Linked DNA regions of Canis lupus familiaris. The protein of the gene in region 1 interacts with the protein of each later gene in a biochemical or structural test. Links are inferred from orthologs where the notes say so. Each region holds a gene or a part of one and is shown in the gene's direction. Other genes may lie near its edges. The genes, in order: PRKCB, RASGRP3 and RACK1.

Evidence for each region.
Region 2: of the proteins of PRKCB (region 1) and RASGRP3, one has a biochemical effect on the other in vitro, tested with the Homo sapiens proteins (2 studies listed by BioGRID). The link is inferred for Canis lupus familiaris from reciprocal best matches to the Homo sapiens genes PRKCB and RASGRP3.
Region 3: the proteins of PRKCB (region 1) and RACK1 form a complex in vitro, tested with the Homo sapiens proteins (2 studies listed by BioGRID). The link is inferred for Canis lupus familiaris from reciprocal best matches to the Homo sapiens genes PRKCB and RACK1.

Annotation. Positions count from the first base shown.
Region 1 is NC_049227.1:22,303,038-22,311,353, reverse strand, and holds the start of PRKCB (protein kinase C beta type), read left to right. Parts: upstream 1-3,278; 5' UTR 3,279-3,309; coding exon 3,310-3,482; intron 3,483-4,427; coding exon 4,428-4,459; intron 4,460-8,316. UniProt on the Homo sapiens protein: Calcium-activated, phospholipid- and diacylglycerol (DAG)-dependent serine/threonine-protein kinase involved in various cellular processes such as regulation of the B-cell receptor (BCR) signalosome, oxidative stress-induced apoptosis, androgen receptor-dependent transcription regulation, insulin signaling and endothelial cells proliferation.
Region 2 is NC_049238.1:26,744,805-26,751,689, forward strand, and holds part of RASGRP3 (ras guanyl-releasing protein 3), read left to right. Parts: intron 1-636; coding exon 637-673; intron 674-3,052; coding exon 3,053-3,178; intron 3,179-3,510; coding exon 3,511-3,875; intron 3,876-5,487; coding exon 5,488-5,496; 3' UTR 5,497-6,885. UniProt on the Homo sapiens protein: Guanine nucleotide exchange factor (GEF) for Ras and Rap1.
Region 3 is NC_049232.1:609,233-617,540, reverse strand, and holds RACK1 (receptor of activated protein C kinase 1), read left to right. Parts: upstream 1-3,109; 5' UTR 3,110-3,229; coding exon 3,230-3,338; intron 3,339-3,622; exon of another isoform or gene 3,623-3,690; intron 3,691-4,279; coding exon 4,280-4,451; intron 4,452-4,753; exon of another isoform or gene 4,754-4,832; intron 4,833-4,991; coding exon 4,992-5,139; intron 5,140-5,353; coding exon 5,354-5,449; intron 5,450-5,868; coding exon 5,869-5,979; intron 5,980-6,414; coding exon 6,415-6,555; intron 6,556-6,927; coding exon 6,928-7,038; intron 7,039-7,363; coding exon 7,364-7,429; 3' UTR 7,430-7,471; downstream 7,472-8,308. UniProt on the Homo sapiens protein: Scaffolding protein involved in the recruitment, assembly and/or regulation of a variety of signaling molecules. Interacts with a wide variety of proteins and plays a role in many cellular processes.

The DNA of each region.
Region 1 (8,316 bases):
CCTACCTGGTTTGTGATAATTCATTAAGGTACCCCCAGGAAACTAACAACAAAGGTGAAACTTGGATTTAAGAGATCTTGGACTCCATTCCTGGCCAGAGCAACATGCCTCCCCACTGCCTCTGAAATCTTTCAACTGGCCAGAATTCATTCCTTTATTAGCAGAGTTGATGGTGCAGGGGTCTGGTCACCTAGAGAGCCCCTGACAAATCTATAGGGAGCTACTGTCCTTTAGAACCATGTGGCACCATGCTGTGTTGTCACCATCTCTTACTTCATCTACTTCAATGATCTCAACCGCTTCTCCTGCTTCTACTCTATTCCCTCTTTAATCTATTTTCCATACAGTATCTGGAGTAATCTTAAAAACAACGACAACAAAAACAAACAAAAAAACCCCAAGCAAGTCATCAGGCCACTTCTCTATTCTCAACTGTCCAATAGCCTCCCATTCACTGGAATGAAATCCAAACTCCTTCCAAGTCTACGATGACCTGCTACCTAATTGATCTTGTCTTGTACCCTTTGTCTCTCCTCTTTCCACTCCAGTCACAGAGGCCTCCTTGCTACTTCTCCAACATGCCAAGCCCTCCTTCTCCTGATCCTTTTGCATTTGCTTGTTTTCTCTGTCTGGAACACTCTACCTTCAGGCAGCCCCATGGCTCACCCTCTCATTTCATTCAGGTCTTTTCCCTTTATGAGAAAGGATATCCCTGTCTGCTGTCACTTTTCATTCCTTTATCATGCTTCATTGTTCTTTATGGCATCAATTTCTACACCACCTGGTACAGATTTGTTAGTTTATTTATTAGGTTATTGTCTATCCTCCCTATTAGACTGTAAGTTCCATGAAGGCCAGACCTTCTGTCTGTTTTATTTAACAATGTGTGGAATAGCATATTGCAGGTGCTCAATAAATTTATTGCTACATGAATGAGTGAATGCATGAGTGAGAGGAGGAATGTAGATTCCGTGTAACCATATCCTGCTTCCTAGAGAAGTCAGAATCTCAAAATTTAGGTGAAATTCTACCGAATATGAACCAAAAAAGTATTTGCTTGGCTGGCTAAAAAAAAAAAAAAAAAATGCATCCAAGGGCCACCAATTTGAGACTCCTGCTCTAAGGGATCTGGGTCCAATGGCAACTATGTTTCCTCATGCTCAGATGGTATAGACCCTCCAAGAATCCAGTATTTCTTTGGGATCCACCAGCCCTTGCATCTCTAGGCTCTGGCCCCATGAGGTGCTGTTTGTTGTTACAGAGCAAAGTCAACCAGTGCACTTCGTTCAAAAGGCAGGATGTGGGCTGCAAGCTTCCAGCTCATCGGTTCAAAGGAAATCTACTTCAGCAGAGATGTCTCCTGGGATGTTTCCCCAAGCCTCCCAGATTGGCAATGGGGCCTCTTAAAGGACTAATAATAGACAGGCACGTCCAGTTTCCAAAACATGTCAACCTTAAAAGTGAAGGCTATTTTTTCCTCCTTACCTTTGAATTACTATGCAGCAGAGGGACATTCTATTATCACAGCTGCTGCTCTCCACATGCAGCCTAATAATGACTTACCACTCAGGGGCTTCCAGGTGAAATCGTCATAGTGGGACCTGAGCTTCATTAGGCAGAAGTTCTGTGTAGCTGCTTCAACTCCACCCTGCTCTCCTTCACGCCTTCATCACGAACGTACTTTGTAGTTTAGGCTGCCCTAATCTCCATTCGACAACACTGGGACTCTGGGTGCACATATTAATCACTCTGAGCCTCACTGTCTTTATCCATAATGAAAATTCTGGACTTACATGGGGTTGTTGTGGCAAGGACTAAGTAATGCAGTGGAGGTACCGAGCGCTTGATGTTTATTATTACCGAACACCTACAGGACATGGTGAGAGGCAAGGGGCAATGTCCTTTAAGCTTTCATTCACTCACTTATTCACACAGTCACTTACTCATTCAACAAACATTTACTGAGCTTCGAGGAGGTGTCAGGCATGGAGCTTGGCTCTGATGACACAATGGTGAGCAGTGCCTGCTCTCAGAAAGTAGATCTAGTGAAGGAGTTTATAGTCTAATGTAGTGCTGTGTTCCCAGACGGTGGGGTATGGGGGGTGCAGATATTGAGACACAGTAGGGCGCTACATCACACTGCGTTATCTACTCATCTACACAATTATCATTCTTTTGGTTACCTTTCCATCCTCCCGATTCCATCCAGGAGAGCGTCCCGGTGGATATGAGTGTGCCGTTAGCATCTTTCTAATATTTGTTAATGTCAGTCTCTAACAGATAAAAGAAGGCTTCAGATGCAGATGCTTTGGGCAGGTGGCAGCATCTGGAGAGATTGTACTACTACGGATATCTTTTGCCATTCAAACTAAGAAACCAGAAAGACTTTTTTTTTTTCTTTCCTTTCAGATGGTGCACAAATACGACCAGCGTTTGTGAAGATGGGTCCCCTCACCAGCCCCATTTTACAGTTGAGGAAAGTGAGTCTCTTTGGGGATGGGATGGACAGACGGTATAGGGAGCTCTCTTTTAAATGTTGGGCAAGCAAAGCCAAGAATGGCCTTTGTGGCGGAGATGTATACCTACCGATATATAAACTAAGATTGCTCCTCCCCTACCTCTGCAGTACGTGTGTGCGTCTGTGTGTGTAAGTGTGTGGAGCCACAGGCCTTTCCGAATGAGTGACAGCGGGAGCCCATCCCTCCAGGAGACGCGTGCGGAATGACCAATGGGATGGATGCGGGGTGGACGGGCACCGGTCTCTGCAGAGGCCGGGTGGAATCCGTGGCGCCCACCCTCGCCACCGCGCACCCCCACCCCGAGTCCCCGCCGGTCCTTCCGCGGGGGGCGCCCTCAAGGTGCCCGTCCCGCCCTCCGCCCCTAGTGCAACCCCGGCGCCCCGCAGCGGGGAGGCGGCGGGCTCAGGTCCGGGCATCGCAGGCTGCGGGCCCCGCGCCGCAGCGCTGCGGCTCGGAGCGCTTCGCCTCGGGGTGCCAATATGCAAAGCAGCTGGCGGCGCTGGGCGGGGCCCGGGCGCCATGCAAATGAAGGGGGCGGGGCCCGCCGTGGCCCCGCCTCCCTCCCCCGCAGCTGGGGCCAGCGGTGCCTCGCGCAGCTGGACGAGCGGCGGCAGCTGGGCGAGTGACAGCCCCAGCTCCGCGCGCCGCGGCGGCCAGAGCGGCGCAGGGGAAGCGCCCGCGGCCCCGGGCGGCAGCAGCGGCCGCCTCCTCGCGCGCCTCCCGGGCCCGCCGCCCGCGGCCCCGCGGCCCCGGGGCCGGCACCTCTCGGCTCCCGCTCCCCGCGCGCAAGATGGCTGACCCGGCTGCGGGGCCGCCGCCGAGCGAGGGCGAGGAGAGCACCGTGCGCTTCGCCCGCAAAGGCGCCCTCCGGCAGAAGAACGTGCACGAGGTGAAGAACCACAAATTCACCGCCCGCTTCTTCAAGCAGCCCACCTTCTGCAGCCACTGCACCGACTTCATCTGGTGAGAGCGCGCGGCGCAGGGCACCCTCCCGGGGCCCCGGACGCCCGGGTGCCCAGTCCTGCGCCCCCCCTCCCCCCCCCCCCCCCCCCCCCCCGGCCCCCGCCCCGGCCCCCGCCCCGGCCGCGGGGCGCCTCCTTGCCCGGTCTCCCCCCCAGCCCCCTCGGGAGCGCCCCGGGGCCGTGGCGCGGGCGCCGGCTCTGCACCTGCTCGGAGCGCGGGGTGGCCGTCCCTGGCCCCTGGGGGGGCAGCGCCTCGAGTGCCCGCTCGCCGGGCTTCCCCGTCTCCCCGCCTCCTTCCGGGCCCGCGGCGCCTGTACCCCCTCCCCTGCTTTCCGGGGGCAGCGCCCTGGGTGTCCTCTCTCTGCCTTCCCGCGGGCGCGGGGCATCCTCTGCTCCCCTCCCGTGTCTCCCGCCTGGCGCCCTGGGTTATCGATGGTTGCGCTTCCCTGCGGGCCACGGGTCCCCTTCGCGCTCCTCAGTGTCCCCTTCGCGTTTCCCCTTCGCGTCCCTGCGGGGACTTTTCTCCCCCGTCGCCCTGGGCTGGGGGAGCCTTTTCTGTCTCCCCAGTTCCCCCAGGGAACTCCACCGCCTCGGGGTCTCTCTCTCCTCCTCCGTCTGGATCCGTCTGGATGCGTCTTTATCGCTTCTCGTTCCCCGAAGGTCCTCGGGCATCTCTGTGGGCAGACCTCCCGCCTGCCCCCCACTTCCCGCGACGGAACCGCTCCCCCCATCCCGCCACCTGGTGGTCGCAGCCTCCTTTCTTCTGCCTTCCGAGGGGAGGTGGGGGTTACCGCTCAGCTGCCCCCTTCCCCCAAAGGCGGAAGACTCTTGGGCACCCGCCTGCGGCTAGGAGGTTGCACCTGGGGTAGAGAGGCCGGGGAAGGGGGGAACTAGCCGGTGGCTGGGCCCCTAGGGCTGCCTGACGTGCCTCTTTCTGCCTTTGCAGGGGCTTCGGGAAGCAAGGATTCCAGTGCCAAGGTAGGCTGTGGGGCTCCGGGAATGCCTTTTGTGGAAGAGATGGTGAAAACACTTTCTAGAAGTGACTGAGTTAGGCAGAAGGCGAAGGACAGAGTGACCTGCCAAGCTGGGACTGTACCACCGCAAAAGGGCCCTTTGAAGGGCTGTGTGTGCAGGCAGTGATGCTCCATCCAGGAAAGGCGGGTGGAGCCAGAGGCCCTACCTGCCAAGGAAGAGCGTGCACCCTTTCTCCCTTCCTGGCAGCAAAGCGTCCAGTTCTGTCTCCTGAACCTATCCCGCTTGGTCAGTCTTGCTTCTGGAGCAAGGGTCCCCAGGGGCCATTTCTGGGAGGACGCCCTCCTCTCCCTAATTCCTGCTCACTCGCCCTTGCTCATCTCGCAGAGTGAGGTTCTGTCCCTTCCCCTGCTTCACAGAAGTCTCCACAGGTGGCTGCTGCCTCTGCATATGGTGCATCCCCTGGAAGGGTGACTGTGGGTGTCCCCTGGGCCTCCTCTCTCCCAAAAAAAGGTCACTCCAGATGGGGTGCTTCTCAGACATGGGTTTAAATCGCCCTTTCTATCTTCTGGCTGCATACAGGAAGGACTCCAAGTGACTGGCAACCTGGGTCCTTGCACCTGGTTCGAGGTCCTTGACCCTAGCCAGGGATGCTCAACCTCGTGGTGACTTTTAACCGTGTGCAAGGTGGCCTTGGCCGTCTCTGGTTGTAAATTCACCCTCCAGGGTCAAGTTGCCTATGGACCTATTTAGCCTTTGGGCTGTCGAACATTTTTTGAATTTGATGTCAACCTTTAGAACCGGGAGATTTTACCCAGATACTTGAATTTTCAGCTTCCAGTTTGCGAAGATTTGGTCCCACTTTCTTGTTGGAACAGTCATTTGGAGCTATTTTCATAGACGGGGCGTACATTCACCATTTCATCCCAGTCCTTCCCAGCTGGGCTTGTTTCACCAGTTTCTGGCTCCTGTAGACATTTGAGTTTGCAACTAATGTTCTGGAAATTTTTTTTCCCTCCCCAATTTTTGGCCAGATGTGGTTGAGTTTGGGGAGAACTGTCTCATTTCTGGAGTGTGTCGTAGGGGTACATTGACTGCCCTGGGGAACTGGGTTTGATCAGAAGAAAGCATTAAGCCTTCAAGAGTCAGAGATGTGACTTAGCTGTGTCTGTGGTGTTGTAGCACTCCACCCTCCAGGGAAAAGTCAAGTGATCCCTGGTGAGTGTGGGTGGCATTGTCAGTTGTACAGGATGCTGGCAGCATGGCACTGCCGTCTCAGAAGACTTGTAGGTTCCCTCCCTCACCTGAGATCCAGGGAAGAGCTGGCTCATCCAGTGAACCTTGCAGACCTGCCCAGCCTCTCTTACCAAGGAGTAGAACCCCAGTCTCACGCTCTGCACCAGAGGACTTCCCAAATCCCTTTATTATTTTTTTCAGCTTTATATACTCTTTTTAAAATTTTATTATTATTTTAAAAATATTTATTTATTTATTTGACAGAGAGAGAGAGAGAGAGAGCACAAGCAGGGGGAACAGCAGAGGGGGAGGGAGAAGCAGGCTCCCTGCTAAGCAGGGAGCCTGATGTGGGGACTCCATCTCAGGACCCCGGGGTCATGACCAGAGCTGGAGGCAGATGCTTAATGGACTAAGCCACCCAGGCGCCCCTATTGTATTATTATTTTAATCGAAGTACAATTAATTTACAATGTTATATTAGTTTCACATCTTCCCAAATCCCTTTAAAGTAGCAATAGCTTAGAATCTGTTGCAAACAGTTAGATTGTTTCCTAGAACTTTGGCCCCTAAAGCACAATACCAGTGGCATCTTAGTGCTGGAATGTGTAGATGATCTTTGAGGTTACCTTTCACTTTCATGAATGAGTTTCTGTCTTTGTCGCTTGCTGGGATTGGGGGTGAATTTTGAACATTTTTACTGCTACTTTTCCACCTGCTCTGTAGTTACTGATGCTTGGGGCAGGCACTCTGGAATGTGTAGGTGATAACAGGAGATCCTGTTTTTCAAAACCTGGAAAGTGGTAGGAATTTTCTGGTGTAGTGAGAGTACAGCGGAATTAAACTTTCTAATCAAATATGGCAACTTTAGAGGTAGACAGTACTTACTATTTTATCAGCTTTCTTTTTCTCTTCTCCCTGAGAGGCAGTGTAGGGTAGCGGGTGTATGTACAGGCCATCAGGCAGGTCACTGTGGTTTTGAATCTTGGCTTTTGGGACTTCCCAACCATCTTATTTAGCTCAGATTCCTTGTCTATAAAATGGGTCCAATAAATAGTACTTACTTTAAAAAGTTGCTGTGTAGGGGCACTTGGGTGTTTCAATTGGTTAAACATCTGACCCTTGATTTTGGCTCAGGTCATGATCTCAGGGTCCTGAGATCGAACCCGGATGTTGGGCTCCACACTGGGTGTGGAGCCTGCTTGAAATTCTCTCTTCCTCCCCTATCCCTCCCCTGCTGCATGCACATGTACTCTCTGTTTCCCCAAAAAAAAAAAAAAAAATCTTTTAGAAAAAGTACACCTGATTAAAATGAGTTCCACATTTTATAGAGAATATGTATGGTTTTATTCCTTCAGTTAAGTCAGCAGTCCAGAGCCCAGGGTGGGTCCTAGTTTCTTCCAGTTTTCAGTTCCACCATCCAGAAGTGACACTTATCCCATAGTCCAAGATGCTAGACTATCTAGTCATCACATCTTTATTTCAGCTAGCAGGAAGGAGGAAAGCGTAAAAGAAAGGCAAAGGCCATATGCTCACTGTCACTTATGGAAGTTGCTGCAAGATACTTCTGCCTATATGCTGTTAGCTAGGACTTAAGCTTAATCACACACCACACCTAACTACAAATCACACACCCACACCTAACTACATGAATGGACAATGTAATGTTAATTTCAGGTAGCCCTCTTTTGGGCTACAAGTTAGGGCAGGGAGTTCTTCCATTTCAAAAATAGAAGGGGAGGGGCATCTGGGTGGCAAAGTCCCTTGATCATCAGACTCTTGGTTTTGGCTCAGGTCGTTGATTGCAGGATCATGGGATTGAGCTCCGTGTTTGGTTTGTGCTCAACGTGGAGTCTGCTTAAGACTCCCTCTTCCTCTGCCCCTACCTTTTTAAAAAACAAAACAAAACATTTCTTTCAATTTATTTATTCATAGAGGCACACACACAGAGAGAGAGAGGCAGAGACACAGGCAGAGGGAGATGCAGACACCACGCAGAGAGCCTGATGTGGGACTCGATCCAGGGTCTCCAGGATCACGCCCTAGGCTGCAGGCAGCGCCAAACCGCTGCGCCACCAGGGCTGCCCTTTTTTTTTTGTTTTAAGATTTTATTTATTTATTCATGAGAGACACAGAGAGAGAAGCAGAAACATAGGCAGAGGGAGAAGCAGGCTCCCTGTGGGGAGCCCAATGTGGGACTCGATCTCAAGACCCTGGGATCATGAACTGAGTCAAAGGCAGATGCTCAACCACTGAGCCACCCAGGCATCCCCTGCCCCTACCTTCTGTGCTCTCTCGCACTTTCTCTCAAATAAATCTTTAAAAAAGTAGAAGGGGAGAGGGGGTATAATTTGCACTATCTTTGGGTAGGAGGTATGTAGGATAATCCTCAGGCGGGGAACCCACAGAGTCTCCATGCTCCCTTGTGCTGTCATGGAAATTGGGGGTGCTGGGATGGGTTGAGGGAGGAAAGATGGAAAGTCTATCAACCATGGGAAATTAGGGATTTCTGTGTGCCCAGGGGAGCTTTAGACTTCCTTGTTTTTGTACTGCTAGAGGATAGAATTCTAGATTGACTGCCACATGATTTTTCCCCTTTTGTTACCACTCTATTTTCTATAAAACCATTC
Region 2 (6,885 bases), on another chromosome or scaffold:
TAGGCCCTCACATCTCTCCAGAGGCACTTGTCACTTCCTACATCCTACTTCCTCTGGGGTTGGCACAATCTGAAAGCTTTCTGCATCTCCCTGAGCCCTGGCACAGGCCAAACACTGAGCAATCAGAGAATGACTACGTGAACAAATAGATCTTTTCCTTCTCTGTATTCTTTCAGGGTACAAATGCTACTCAGAAAAGAGCCTAGTACCACGCAAGCGCGTTAGTGGGATATGCACCATGTTTGCTTTATTTCGTTAGGGGGCGCCAAGAGCAGCTGGAGTGATTAAAAAGAAGGCAGAGGGAGCTGGGGGCTTCCAAGAACAGTGACAGTCTCCCCAGTAAATTTTGCTGAGAACTCATTATACCAAGGTCCAATAAATGTACCAATATCAGTCTCCCATCCCGGCTCCCATTTGGCTTTCAGATAGAAAAGGGAAGCACAACTGTTATCACCCCAGCTGGAGTGAGCTAGGAGACCATTCTTCTATCTGACAGGAAGGGTGTCAGGATCAGTTACATCCTGTTTGTGCTCTACCAGCCATCATGCTTCCCAGGACTTCCTTCTCTCTGGCCTTGTTTTGTTTTTTCCAGATTTTAATTCAGATTCTCTGACATTCTTTTGTCTTTTGTTACAGCTCTGGGGCATAATCAAGCAAGGATACAAATGCAAAGGTAAATAAATGTTATGTTGTAAAATGTTAAAATGTCCGTGTGTCTGACAAAACTACAGAAACTCTTGGCATCTTGGAGAACTCAGGTCTTTGGGCCACTGGCAACTGAAGAAGGTAATGTGTCTAGGGAAAAAAATCCCTGCAGTTCTGGATAGCCTCAATCAGAATTTCACAATTCTTGCTTGCAAGAGCAAGCAAACCACCCTTATCAACCCACAGACATGTGGCCTCTTCACTAGGATGTCTTGTGAAACATCACACAGTTAGGGTGAGAATTTTGGAGTGGAAAAGGCCTAACTAAAATACCATATAAAAGAACTTTGTCCTTCATGGGAATAAGCACATACTCATTCCTGTAATACATATGCCTTTCTTTCTGCTCTCACATACAGCTAGCTATTCCTTTTGCCACTAAATCACAGATGATGGATGAAAAACAGATTTAAAGTTTCTCCTTAAAACTTATTTTTGTCCCTTTCAATGAATTTGTTCATATGGTTCCCCAATTAATTGAAGTTTATTAACAAATAAAGAAATATAACTTGATAAATGCAATATACATGCATATTAATAGGCACTTAGGACTCTTGACACTAGTGCCTATATGATCATTATATATTATTGATGTTTATTTTTAAATTTTATTTAAAGTCAATTAATTAGCATATACTCTTTTATTAGTTTCAGGGATAGAGTTTAGTGATTCATCAGTTGCATATAACACCCAGTGCTCATTACATCATGTGCCCTCCTTAATGCCTATCACCCAGTGACCCCATCTCCCCACCCGCCATATATTATTGGTGTTTAAATAAAGAAATTACTGGATAGTTTACTGATGGTTTTAAGAATCTGACAATGCTCTTGAAAGATATCACTACAAAAGAAAACATTTTCATTACAGAATGCTTTCAGATTAATACTATTGCCTTTTGGTGCCTTTTTTCCCTAGCTATCTTTTAGGATTTGGTCCTCATGTTGTATGAACAGAGTTTCCTGAAGCTCAATAGGAGCCACCTTTTCATCTCAAAAACCTTCCCTTTAGTTCTTGGTATTAGTTGTCTGAGTGTAACTTGGATTTGTACTTTCAAGCAGCAAAGATACAGCAAAGATATCTTACCACCTAGCTATAGTTTTATTCTGGTTTCTGACCCTTATCCTCTAAAGACAGACACACACACACATATAAACACACTTTTATGAAGATGAAAATCAATTAAACCCTTGGATCATCTGTGTATATACAGTATTTTCTCTTAAAGGCAAAAGAATGTTAAAATTAATTAAAATAGACAACATTTCATTATAATTTAGTCTTTCCATGCTGTCATTACAAGAGTATTTGAAATAAGATCATTTGAGGGGAAAGCGAGTATTGGAAAGAATTAGAAAGATCCTCTTTGATAGGGAGAAATACGCTCTTTAAAATGATCCTATCTGTTCATTTCTAAGAGAAATGTAGAACCCTCTATGGGAAATAACTGTGTTTCTCTTTTGCAAAGCAGCCCAAGTTTTCTACTCTAAGTAGCAATTTATAGTCTACTTTCTTAACTAAAGCATTCTAATGGGAGTTTTACAGAGTCTGCTGCCATTTCAAAGCCATAATCAAATCTAGAATATGTTATTGGGCATAAGCCCATCTTGTTTTCTGTTTCTATGCAAAGACAGGAAGCAGGAGATAAGATCCCTTGTTCTAGAAAAGATTTAGAGGGGGATGCCTGGTGGCTCGGTGGTTGAGCATCTGCCTTCGGCTCAGGTCGTGATCCTGGAGTCCTGGGATCCAGTCCTGCATCAGGCTCCCTGCAGGGAACCTGCTTCTCCCTCTGCCTTTGTCTCTGCCTCTCTCCGTGTCTCTCGTGAATAAATAAAAAAATATTTTAAAAAAATTGGAGGAATGAAGAAGAATAATAAAATGCAGGCAGATACCGAATAAAGGGATACCTGACTGTAAATGAGCGGAGGCAGCTGTTGGGCCTAGAAGACACTAGAAGTTGGGGTTTCTTTCCCTCATTCTGGCTCAAGGAGCCTCTTGGTGGAGCCTGGGAGGCAACCCCAGTCCCATGGAATTGGCATTTAGTTTGGGGCAAAGGCAACTCCCTGCTAGGTCTATGCCCTGCTGGTTTGCTCCCCAGCGCCTCAATGAATTGTGTAGAGGAAGAAGTTAAGCAAGTGTGAGAGGAACCCCGGGGAGGCAAGTAAGTCCCACTGGCCTTTCTCTGGTCCCTAGACACACTCTGCTGGCCTGAGTTGGACTCTGAGTCAACATGGAGCAGAGGAGGGGGAGGGCACAGCCAACAGCTCAGGGGCACCCTGGCAGCCCAGTCAGCACCAGGTGCACATGGTTGCCACTAATCGTTTGTGATACTTGGTGATTTTTCAGACTGTGGAGCCAATTGTCACAAACAGTGCAAAGACCTCCTGGTTCTGGCCTGTAGGAGATTTGCTCGTGCTCCCTCCTTGGGCAGTAGTCATGGGTCACTGCCTGGAAGCCCCTCATTGCCCCCAGGTAAGATCCTCTGCTTTCTTTTCTACCTCAATTTCCTTCTGCTCATCTTTCCATATTGGCCTTTCATTGGGTTCTGGATCTGAACCTGGTCAGAGTCATTATAAACACCCTACTTCAGGGTGAGTAGCTATGGCTATACCCTTGACTCCCACCTGCTTCTCTCTGCTCTCAGGTCTCACATCTATGCATTTCACCTGCAGGCAGTTTGGGTCCACCTCTGGTCTGTCCTTCTAGGGCCTTGCTCATCGGACTCCTGTGATTTGCACCAGCTTTGACAGTTTGCTCTAAAGCAATCAGATGTCAAATAATCACAACAGTCTCTCCTCTTCCAGTGCAGGATGAGGTGTTCGAGTTCCCAGGCGTGGCTGCAGGACACCGAGACCTGGACAGCAGAGCCATCACACTGGTTACAGGCTCTTCTCGCAAGATCTCTGTGAGGCTGCAGAGGGCTACCACCAGCCAGGCCACTCAGACCGAGCCTGTATGGTCAGAGGCTGGCTGGGGGGACTCAGGGTCGCATACCTTCCCCAAAATGAAATCCAAGTTCCATGACAAAGCAGCAAAGGACAAAGGTTTTGCCAAGTGGGAAAATGAGAAGCCCAGGGTGCAGGCTGGTGTGGATGTTGTGGACCGGGGTACCGAGTTTGAGCCTGACCAGGATGAAGCAGACGTGGGTGAGACCAGACAGGATGGTGAGGTCAGTTCTGGGTCAAAGCACAAGTAAAATCACAAGAAGGAGGCTAAAAGGGGCTGAGACAACCATTATAGTGAGTCCAGGAGACAGCCTAGTAGGTTTCTTTTTTTTTTTTTTAAGATTTTATTTATTTATTTGAGAGTGAATGAAAGAGAGAGAGAGGGAGAAGCAGGCTCCTCACTGAACAGGGAGTCCAACATGCGGCTTGATCCCCAGACCTTGCGATCATGACCTAAACTGAAAGCAGACACCCAATCCACTGAGCCACCCAGGTACCCCTAGCCTACTAGTTTTGAGAGCTGAGTGGTTGCACATTAACACATACCACTTTTCATCTTACTCTTGGCTTGTTATATGATCCCAGGCAAATGATTTCTTCTCTTTGCACCTCAATTCCCTAATATATAAAATTGAACCAGATGGATTCCAAAGCTTAGTGAGGCTGTCATTTCTGTGGACTGATATGATGTCCCAGGGATCCATGACTCACTGTGTGTATCCAATAGGCCAGTACCTGTATCAGTTTAGTTTTCCAAGCTAGAATCAGGGTAGGGGAGGGAGGGTGATGGGCAGTGGAAGCAAAAGACTTGCAGATAGAGAAGAAGAGTTGGAAACTTTTGCCCTTACCACCCCCAACACCTGCAAAAAAAAGTCTTTTGACAGCATCATGGAGAAGCAGGGGTGGTGAGAATCAGAGACATAGGAGCCTGAAGGTTCTATAAGCCAGGCCCTGGCTCCACATAAAAATGACATTCACATCATCCAAAGCAGATTGGAAGCATGTGGAATTTGTTAGAATAAGCTGAAAATATAAATTGATTCAAGTTAGACTTAGATAAATTTATTAGTCAACAGTCCGTAATGTATTAAGAAAAAAGATTTGGGGAAATCAGTGTCATATTCCTAACCTTTCAAGCCATGCCATGGAGGGCAGCCATAGCCTCCCTATGGAGTCGTTCTCATAAACAGAATTATTGGGTTAGGCAGAGAACCTATTGAATCAAGCCAGTGCTCTTTATTCTTATGGGTAGTCCTTCACATTCCGTTCTTTAGGGAGACCTAAATACACAGTCCCCTTGGTTTCCTGTGATGAGAAAAACTCCAGTGACCTTTAACCCAAATTCCTCTAGTTCTTTCCTCATTGAAGACAATTAATAAGGAGGCCAGAAATTATCTTAAGTCTTATGCAGTTTATTGTAAGTTTTGATATGTTTATGTATAGCTCTCTCTGCATATCTCTACATATACCTATATAGATATGTATCTTTTCTCTCATACAAATTTTCTCAGTGCTCTTACCCAAGTTTACATTGTGTTTTTCTAAGAGAGAAACCTCAACAAGAAATATTTCATAGACCAGTGTTTTGTGGAGCCCCTCTTAGGAAACATTAATGTAAGCAAACTTGTTGAATAAGATTTAAGATTTCATGTGCTGTGTAGAATACATGATCTTTTAATTCCCTCTAAATCTTAAGAGTACAAAGTGCTTGATCATTTGATCAAAGTGATCATTTCAGATGTTCCCTCAAATGTAACTGATAAACTGCTTTCTAAGAATATTCTTGTTTTATTAAGTGTGACCCAGCCATACAACAGGTTCTGATTCATGTTGCAGGATGGCTGACTTCAGGCTGAGGACACTGGAGGCAATGATGTCAGCATTTGGAAGGAGCAAGATGAGAAACTCTGAAGAACACTCCAACTCAGGAAGTTATCTGAAAAGATATCTGGGACTTTTACTGCTTGGTGACACCATGGGGTCTCCCTGATTGGACTATGGGACAGAGGATTTACCCTATGAACTATTTATTTCCTCCTTCCCAGGCCCTAGTCAGGTGCTACCAAGACTGGGTGATGTAGCTAGTAGATTTCTCCTGTATCTTTCTCTAGAGCCATTTATATATGAGTGAAGTGAAAGCTTTTCTGCATGTACTTGATACTCATTCTCTGAACTCTACTTTTTTTGTGAGAATATTATTTCAGTATTTTTATAAACTTTTGGTGGGGGAGGAGTCAATTTAGAGGTCTTTTTTTGTGTGCTTTTTGGATGGGACCAGGACTTATTTTCTTGAGGGGACAAAGAAAGCTCTTCAGATCCTGGAATGAGGTGGTTCTTCTAACGTAAAGAGATGTTTACATTGTTCTTACCCTACAGTCGCTGTCACAATGTGTAACAGGTCATACATTTATGTTCATATAAGTCTTACCAATTCTGCATCCTAAGGAAGCTATGACACAGCCATGAAAATCTCCTGATATTTATAATTGCTGTGGGGGAAAATTAAGTATACTTGTCTCAGCTGACTATGTTTAGCCATTTTTCTTAAGACTCCTGTTAAGACTGCCAGTAAGAAATGTGGATAGTGATTACAAAATCAATTAAAGTTTGGGCGGATAAAATTTAGGAGAGAAGCAAACCAACAAGCAAACCACTTAGTGAAATGAAAAACAACCAGCAATCTTTAAAAATTCAAAACAGTTTTAAGAACTTTGTTTGTTAAAAAAAGAAAAGTTTTGATTATAAAAGAGAACTTTTGTCCTCTTCCGAAGAAATTGCCATCCATAATTAAAGAGTAGTCATAGAAATCAAATCCTCAGAAACCTTTGATTAATATTTTATTTAGCTTTTAAGGTATCAGTATTTTTCAATGTCTCCCTTTGACCTACAGAGCTACAGGTGGGTCTGTTTTTTACATGATTAGAGGAGAGAGAACTTAGTTCAAGGTGTTCAAATAGAGATTGAATTGAGCCAGTGGACGAGGGGAGTGACCTGCTGCCATGTGGCCAGTGTGAAATTATGGCCCCACAGAAGTGCACTGGTCTTCATTGGAAGTTTAAATGTATAAACCATACAAGATTGAATTTATTTATATTTGGGGCAGTCACTTCAGTAAATAAATGCCTTTCTTCTCTTTTTCCATTAGATAAAATTAAGGACAGTTCTACTCAGCAAACACTTGACCACCTGCTTTAGGCAGGTCCTGTGCTAAAATGCACAAAGACAAGCAATATT
Region 3 (8,308 bases), on another chromosome or scaffold:
CTCCCCGCTGTGCTGATCTTAGGGATTCCCAGCAGAAAAGGAATGGTGAGACAGACTTCCTTAGAAAAGAATCTCCAAATTCTCTTTTGGGATGTTTACCTTGTGTGGGAATGGAAGTGCTGCCAGTGGGGACATGGGAGAGGACAGGCAGCCCAGAGGACAGGCTGCCAGTGGGGACAGAGGAGAGGACAGGCAGCCCAGGGCATGGGACCAGTGGGTGGGGAACATACGAGAGGGGTGGCCTGGGGAGCTGAAAGAAGGCTCTGCAGAGTAACTTTCCCCAATTTCACCCAAGGTCAGGTGGAGCCCTCCAACAGATTTCTGCCTCCTAGAGGGAAAGATCAAAGACCCAGGATGAAAAGGCCCAAAGGCCGGACCCAGGCCTGCTTGGGCAGGCAGCAGACTACTGTGGAAAGCACAGGCTTATTCTTAGGATGCGTCTAGCAGCCAAGAGAAGTCAGCCCCCTGGAAAGGGCCAGGCTTGAGGAGTCCAGGTGGGTCCACATGCCTAGCAGGGAGCCTTGGGGCCCCAAACGGAAGCAGGCATGTATGGGGCTCAACTCCAGCTTGGGCTGAGAGGGAAAGGCTGCTGCTACATGCCATCCCTGCCCCTAGCTATACCCAAAGTGTCCCCAGAGTCAGGGTCAGGCCTCCCTCAATTCATGAATACCCCTCAGTGGTTTTGTGGCTTGCCAGAATCTTCTCCAAGAGAGGAGAGACCAGGTGGTGATGATTGGAGAAAAACTCCAAGGTGGAAAAGCCCAAATCCTACAGTCTGGTCATCTGGGAACTCCACTATATTCCATTTCTCCCTCTCCTCTGCTGACATTGCCAGATGGGTATTGGTGGGTTCCAGGGGAAAACCCGAGATTCCCCCCCTTGGCCCCAGAGGAGGGGGCACTGCCAGGGGCCGGTACAGGGAGACGCCCATGGAATTGCGGGAGGCCAAAGACACCTACAGAAATCTTGGTCTCTGTGGCCAGAGGACTCTGGGAAAGGGCTGCGCAGAGGTGAGCCTGGGGAGGACGAGGCTAGCCGAGGAACGGCCCCCTCTGGAAAGGGGCCTGGTGGTGACGAAAGGTCGAGTCCTTGAGCATGCGTGAGAGACCTGGGAGGCTTGTTTTAAACCTGTCCTCCTGGCCCTCTTTCAGAGATGTTGATTCCACAGGGGCTCCTTAGCAAAATTCAAGAATACAGAGAGCCAAATGAGATTTCTCGAGAGGAGTAAATATAATATGACTAACCAAGGATCTCTTGGGTGAAGGCAGGAGATGAAGGAACGCGTATTCTTGAACTGAGAGGAAATCCTCTGCATGTACAGGCCAACACAGGGGAGTGTTTGCTCTGTGCATTTCCACAGCGTGGAAATCTCTCACCTCTCTATTTGTCCCAACCGCCCAGGGCACTGGCACGACCCGAGCTATGAACAGTGAACTGGATACTGGTGTGGGTGAAAGTAAGGGTCTCCCATTACCAAAACAGGTCAGGGTTGGGGTCGACTTCGAGTTTAGTGTTAGAAGAAAAAGACAGCTAATTGGGGGTGCTACGGAGGCATTTAAATGACCTTCGCAACTGGAGCCCTTGAAGCCTACTCAGAACAGCAACCACCCTGAGGAGCCATGTTCTTTCCCCCAGACTGCGGGCCCTCTGTCAGCTGCCCCTCACGCCTATCTCACTGTTCGGTTTTCAGCACTTCCAACACCTCCAGGATGTTTTGCACTGAGCATCCCTGCCCCCAGAACCTTATCCTCCCGTGTATCCACAGGGCTGTCTCCTTCTTCGTCTCTTTGCTCCAATTTCCTTCCCCCTCACTCCATCAAATGTAAACTCCAAAAAAACCTGGTCCTCACCCCCCTCTTGCTCACAGCTGTATCCCTCAAGACCTAAAACAGGGCCTGGTACCCAAGAGGTGCTAAGTTTGCCTGCATTTATTCTGCCAAGCATTGTTCTGGGCCCTTTACCTACCATAACTCATTTACTCTTTTCAACACCATTTTGGGTGGGTACTATTATTTCCAACCTCATTTCACAGATATGAAACTAAAATTAATACATGTTACAAACAGAAAATAAATACTTATTATGTATAATTCCCCCCCCCCTTATTTTGCTTAGATGATAGCGAATGGTACCACCCTGGTACCTCTCCCCCTTCAAAAAATATGTGACAGGAGCGCTGCCTGCCAGCATCGTCTCTCAGTTATCAAGGAGGCACTACATATTCACGTACCATGCGGCTAAACAGGAGGCCGGTAGGCAACCTGGGAACCCTGATCCACGGTGTCCCAGGCAGGTGGAACCTCCTTAGGGGCACGTCTGGACTCCCCAGACCCGCAGACCTGCCTGAGAGGCGGTGAGGCTCAGAGCCCGCTTTCACTCGAGACCCGTAAGTCAGAACCCGGAGGCCTTTGCTCTCGGGGTCTCTGTCTCTGCGTCGGCTCTCCGCGCTCCTGCCCAGGTGGGAGCCGGGGACGGACATGCAGCCCACGGGCCGATTGTTCGTTCCTCCCCGGTTTTCCGCTCCGTAACCTGTTCCTGTGTTTACTTCTGCCTGGACTAGGTCCTTCCGGACAGGGAGTGCCTCAGCCAATTCCCTCAAAGCAAAAACCTCTCCAGGGAGGAGTTGCCCTCTGCGAAGGAAATCAGTCAGAGTTTACTGGTTCACCTAAGTACAGTGTATTTCAAAAACTGAATACCATATTTTTCATATTCCTTACCGTTACTGGCAGTTCTCACCTCGAAATTGAGCTCCCTCAGCCTGGCCCTCCAGACCACCAAGCGGAAAAGGCAGGGCTCGCGCTGTGCCACGTGGGGGCAGGGAAGGCGCCGGACGTTCCTTATGGGAACATGCTGTCTGTGCCCGTCCCCTCTTCGTCTTCTTATACATCACGCCTCAGTGGATGTTTGAGGGGCCTTTTTAAACACCTGGTGGAGTTGGTTTCAGAATGACTTGGCATGGCACTGCCAAATTATGTTGCATGGCGGAGGCGACCATAAAGTTTTGCCATTTCATCTCGCCTTTTGACTTACGAGGCGCCGCCATCTTAGGCAGGAGTGAATAACGGGGGCCGCCATTTTTGCTCGAACGGGAGGGTATTTCCGGTTCCGGCGGGGACCTTTTCCTTCTTTTCCTCTGGAGGGCCTTGTCGGGAGCGGCTGTGCTGCTAGTCCTTCTGAACTATCCATCTCCATCCTTGTCGCCGCGGCGACACTCGCTCTCGCCGCCGCTATGACTGAGCAGATGACACTTCGTGGCACCCTCAAGGGCCATAATGGCTGGGTGACTCAGATCGCCACCACTCCCCAATTCCCAGACATGATACTGTCTGCTTCTCGAGGTACGGGCTAAGGTGCGGGGCAAAGGATTGAGGGATAAGTGGGTTGCGCGTGTCGCTTGGCGACTTGGAATACTCCGTCCGGGTGTGAGTTGGGGCATGCGGACCCGGGCCACGGCCTCCGCTTGGATAAACCCGCGAACCATCCCCGCTTGGCAGAGACGGAGACCTAGGTCAGCTCGTGGTCGCCAGGAGGATTGCAGGGTTGGGGTTTTATTTCTTGCCCATCTTCTCGCAGATGTGTGTAGGTGTGTAGCTGAGTGTGCTCAGGAGATACGGGGTCGGGCGGAGCGGTGATGATGCCAACATGCCATCTGAGTACCTGTGCTGAGAACCAGAGGCTGTTTCTGAGCTTACGCCCGGCCCGTGCTTAGTGGATAGACTGCAAGAACTCCCCTCGTTTCTTTTCATTCACTGAACCTGGCAGCATTCGGAGGCTTCTTGTGCCTTTTGCTGGCCCCCACACTATTAAAAAATAGTCTGAGGCCAGGATCATGTTTGGAGAGTAATTGGAAAACTTGTTGTTACTAACACGTTTCAGTGAAAGCATCCAGTCAGGTAGGATGTAAAGCAATTTTTCCGAATGCAGCCATTAGTGATTGTAGGAATCCCACAGCCAAGCAGCAGTGTTTATGCTTTAGACCTCAGATCAGACTCCAAGAATTGAATTGATCTGTCAGAAAGGGGCATCCATAATATGCTAAAGTTCTGCACACCAGAGTTTAATTTTCATGGCATTGCTTAGTTCTACTTGAATCTTTTTTGAATAGCCAATCACCTTGGCCTTGACTAGTAACAGCTCACACCCTGTAGTTCTTCCCCCTTGAGAGTCCTTAATTTGTTACCTTTTAAGTCCACCGATGACACTGAGGGATCCTGGATTATCCAGTAGGTCAGCAAGTGGGCTGTTAACTCACTGAGTTTTCTTTTTTACCTCTCCTTAGATAAGACGATCATCATGTGGAAGCTGACTAGGGATGAGACTAACTATGGCATCCCACAGCGTGCTCTTCGGGGTCATTCCCACTTTGTTAGTGACGTGGTCATCTCCTCAGATGGCCAGTTTGCCCTCTCAGGCTCCTGGGATGGAACCCTTCGTCTCTGGGATCTCACAACGCAAGTAGCTGCTCATTTAACTCTGGGACACTGGGCAAAGGCTAGGCAAAAATGAGGTAGATGCTGTTGGGCGGTGGTTTCCAAGGGAGATTGAGGTTCATTGTGGGTACTTAAGGCAAGAAAGTACCTAGAAAAGGTAGTTGGGATTGTTTGGCTTCTATCCTTGCTGGTTTAATTAGTTATGCAGAATTGTTAGAGGAGTGGGCTGGTTGAGTTTTACCACATACTGTGGTTGGGAGTAGGCAAGTGTTGAACATGTTTTATCTTGGGAGCTCAGTACTTGGATGGCCGGGCATAATGAGCATCCCAGTGATGACAGATGACATTGTCAGCCAATCCCTACGTGGGAGTGAGGACATGTCCTGCAATTCTGAAGGGATACTCTCATATATGCTCAACCATGGGCCTGTTGTGATCAGACCTATGTCCAGGGTCATGTGAGTAATGGCAGCTCCAGTGAGACAGGAACAGACCAGGGAAACATTCTGATGTGGAAGAGTGTTTGAGGCATCTAGAGACTGACCACGTCCTCCTCCTCAGGGGTACCACCACACGCAGATTTGTAGGACATACCAAGGATGTGCTGAGTGTGGCCTTCTCCTCCGACAACCGGCAAATTGTTTCTGGGTCGCGAGATAAAACTATCAAGCTATGGAATACCCTGGGTGTATGCAAGTACACCGTACAGGTAACTGAAGGCACATGTAGAAACTTCTCTCCCACCCTTCTTAACCTTGGCTTTAAGGTGATTTTAAGCCTGGCCTGGACTCTATAAAGGGAGCTCTTGATATTAATGGTTTGGGTTCTAGGGTTGTGAACACTTCCATGTAACTGAGGGAAGGTGAGGTTCTGGTTTCATGGAGACAGGATACTTTCTCTAATTTCTTTTCCATCCTCTGCAGGACGAGAGCCATTCAGAGTGGGTGTCTTGTGTCCGATTTTCACCTAATAGCAGCAATCCCATCATTGTCTCCTGTGGTTGGGACAAGTTGGTCAAGGTGAGCTTGGAGCCAGGGTATAGGGCCTTCACCAGCCAGAATGTTCTCCCACTGCCTCTCAGGTGGTCATAGGATCTAAGTTTGAAAGCTTTGTCCCTCGGTTCACTTTTCCTGTTGCACTCTTCTAAGTACAGGCCAGTGGTTTTTGATATTTGGTCTGAAGTAGCTCATGAAGCCCAGTGTCCCTCATAAAGCAACACATAGAACATTTGTTACCTTTTTTAATCTTGATTGTCCCTTAGGTGACCAAGACAAATTCTTTTTAACATTTTTGTTACTGATAGAATGAAAAATGGTCACCCTGTCCTGGAATGCTTTTAAATTAAGTAAATCGTGCCTTTTTTGTCCTGAGCAGTCCTGACCCCAGTTGGTTCAGAGCCAGATTCTTCACCTTTTACCCTCCACCTTACCAAACCTAGGTATGGAACCTGGCAAACTGCAAGCTGAAGACCAATCACATCGGCCACACGGGCTACTTGAACACCGTGACCGTCTCTCCGGATGGATCTCTCTGTGCTTCTGGAGGGAAGGTATTCAGAAACTGGGAGTTTACTACTCAGTGAGGGACTGTTTTAAAAAGATATTTAAGATATTGAGGTAGCAACCAAGAATAAATATCTTAAGATTGCTTCCTGGAAATGACATAGATAAGGCATACTGTTTTAAAGAAAAAGATTGTTTTCAGTAAAGCTGGTTTCTTGAAACTGTTCTTTTCAGAACTGATTGTTCTTTTCAGAACTGATTTATTTAGAAGTTGTCAGAGACATCGTAGGGTTGGTGAGGTGCCCTGCATTAAAGGAAAGGCATTCAGAGATAAATATTGGTATTTGAATCATTCATTAGTTTTTGGGAAGTTTGCGGGGGAAGGGGGACTGTTAAGTAATAAAAAAAATTTTTGAGGCAGTTAAGATTAACAACTGCAATGGGTTTCATATTGCCCTGACTCACCTTTCCTGTCTTCCCAGGATGGCCAAGCCATGCTGTGGGATCTCAATGAAGGCAAGCACCTTTATACACTTGATGGTGGAGACATCATCAATGCCCTATGCTTCAGTCCTAACCGATACTGGCTATGTGCTGCCACGGGCCCCAGCATCAAGATCTGGGTGAGTGTGGGCTACAGTTAAGGCTGAACACCTGGCTGTACTCTCTGAGTCCTGGTAATGTTGTGATTTCCTGATCTGTCACTGCTGGGATTTGAGCTTTCTGAATACCTGCTAACCATGCGGCTAGCAGTGGAGATCCAGGAAGAGCAAGGTAACAGCTTTCCAAGACTGGGATCTGCAGTGGTGGCAGACACTTGTCTACTAAGGGGGATGACAACTTACTCAACTTCAGCACAAGTTGATCTAGACTGTTCTGGGGGCAGGGGGAGGCATTCCTGTATTTTAGGCTGTTCAGTAACATACTCAGCCTCTACTCCCAACTGGATGCCTGTAGCAGAGTCCCTCCTTATCCTGATTTTGCCCATTCCCCAGGACTTGGAAGGCAAGATCATTGTAGATGAACTAAAGCAAGAAGTTATCAGTACCAGCAGCAAGGCAGAGCCACCCCAGTGTACCTCTCTGGCCTGGTCTGCTGATGGCCAGGTAAGTGAGTCTCTGAAGTGACTTGGCTTCTACCTTTTCTCTCTTCCTTTATTCTTGGTGTGTCTTTGACATAAAGTAAAGTGATAAAATTAGCCAGGTTGATTTGGGAGGACCAGATTAACTGTCAGTGAACAGAGTACATGTTCTGGCATTGGAAGGAAAATTGATCGATCTAGCAGTGATTATTAATTACCTTCTCTTGGAATACATACCACCTACAACCTGATGGTTCAAGGATTGGTGATCTTAAAAGGCCATCTTTTTACTAGAAATGCAGAGTTCTGTGACTCTGACATGACCTGTCGCTGTCCTTTCTCCCTTGCAGACTCTGTTTGCTGGCTACACCGACAACCTGGTGCGTGTGTGGCAGGTGACCATCGGCACCCGCTAGAAATGATGGCAGAACTTTAGGAATAAAACATTGGTTTTCTGACTTGTTTGTTTTTCTCTGATAAGCTACCTTCTAATGCTGTATTGCATCACAATGACTTGTGTCTCAGGTATAAATCCTCTAAGCTTGCAGAAAATGTTCTTTAGGAATCGTAAAACCTCAGTTCTAGCTTTATGACATAAATAATTGAACAGATAATTCCTCAAAGCAGTATTATAAAACACAGTATTTTGAACTCTTAATCACACCTGGCTTTTGCTCAAGTGGTAGCTATCTAAGTAATATACTTTTGAAATAGCCTATAGAGATCTTCCATTTCCATTTCCTTCAATTTTATCATGGTATTTCAGCAAGATACAATCTCAGATTTGGGAAATGTCAAGAGTCTTAGGAAAACTGTAGTCCTAAAGCCTCAGAGCATTAATATACACAAAACAGCAATGATCAGCAGATGATCTTCAACTGTATCCTGAAGAGGGAGGGTGCCAATTAAAAAACTGGGTCACTCAGGGGGTGTGTGTGTGTGACTATCACAATATGGAAATAAGATTGCACTAGGTTTAAAAAAAAAAAAAGGACTTCCCAAATGTGACCAGTGCAAAAGGCAGTTATCACTGAAATGCATCATTTATTAGGCCTGGCTTATGGAAGAAATTGTTCTCATTCTTTTTTGCTCATCTAAAGGAAAGGACTCCACAAAAGAAGCAAATAAACTTTTTTATTTCCACAACACAACCCCTCTTCCCTTTTCCCCAGGAACATAAATTGACCTCTGCCATCAAAGTAGAGGACAAAAGCTGACAAGTGACAGAAGGCAAAGGGTTACTAGAAAAATATATTATACCCAAGGCTCTTCTGGGGATCCAAACCCCTGTCCCC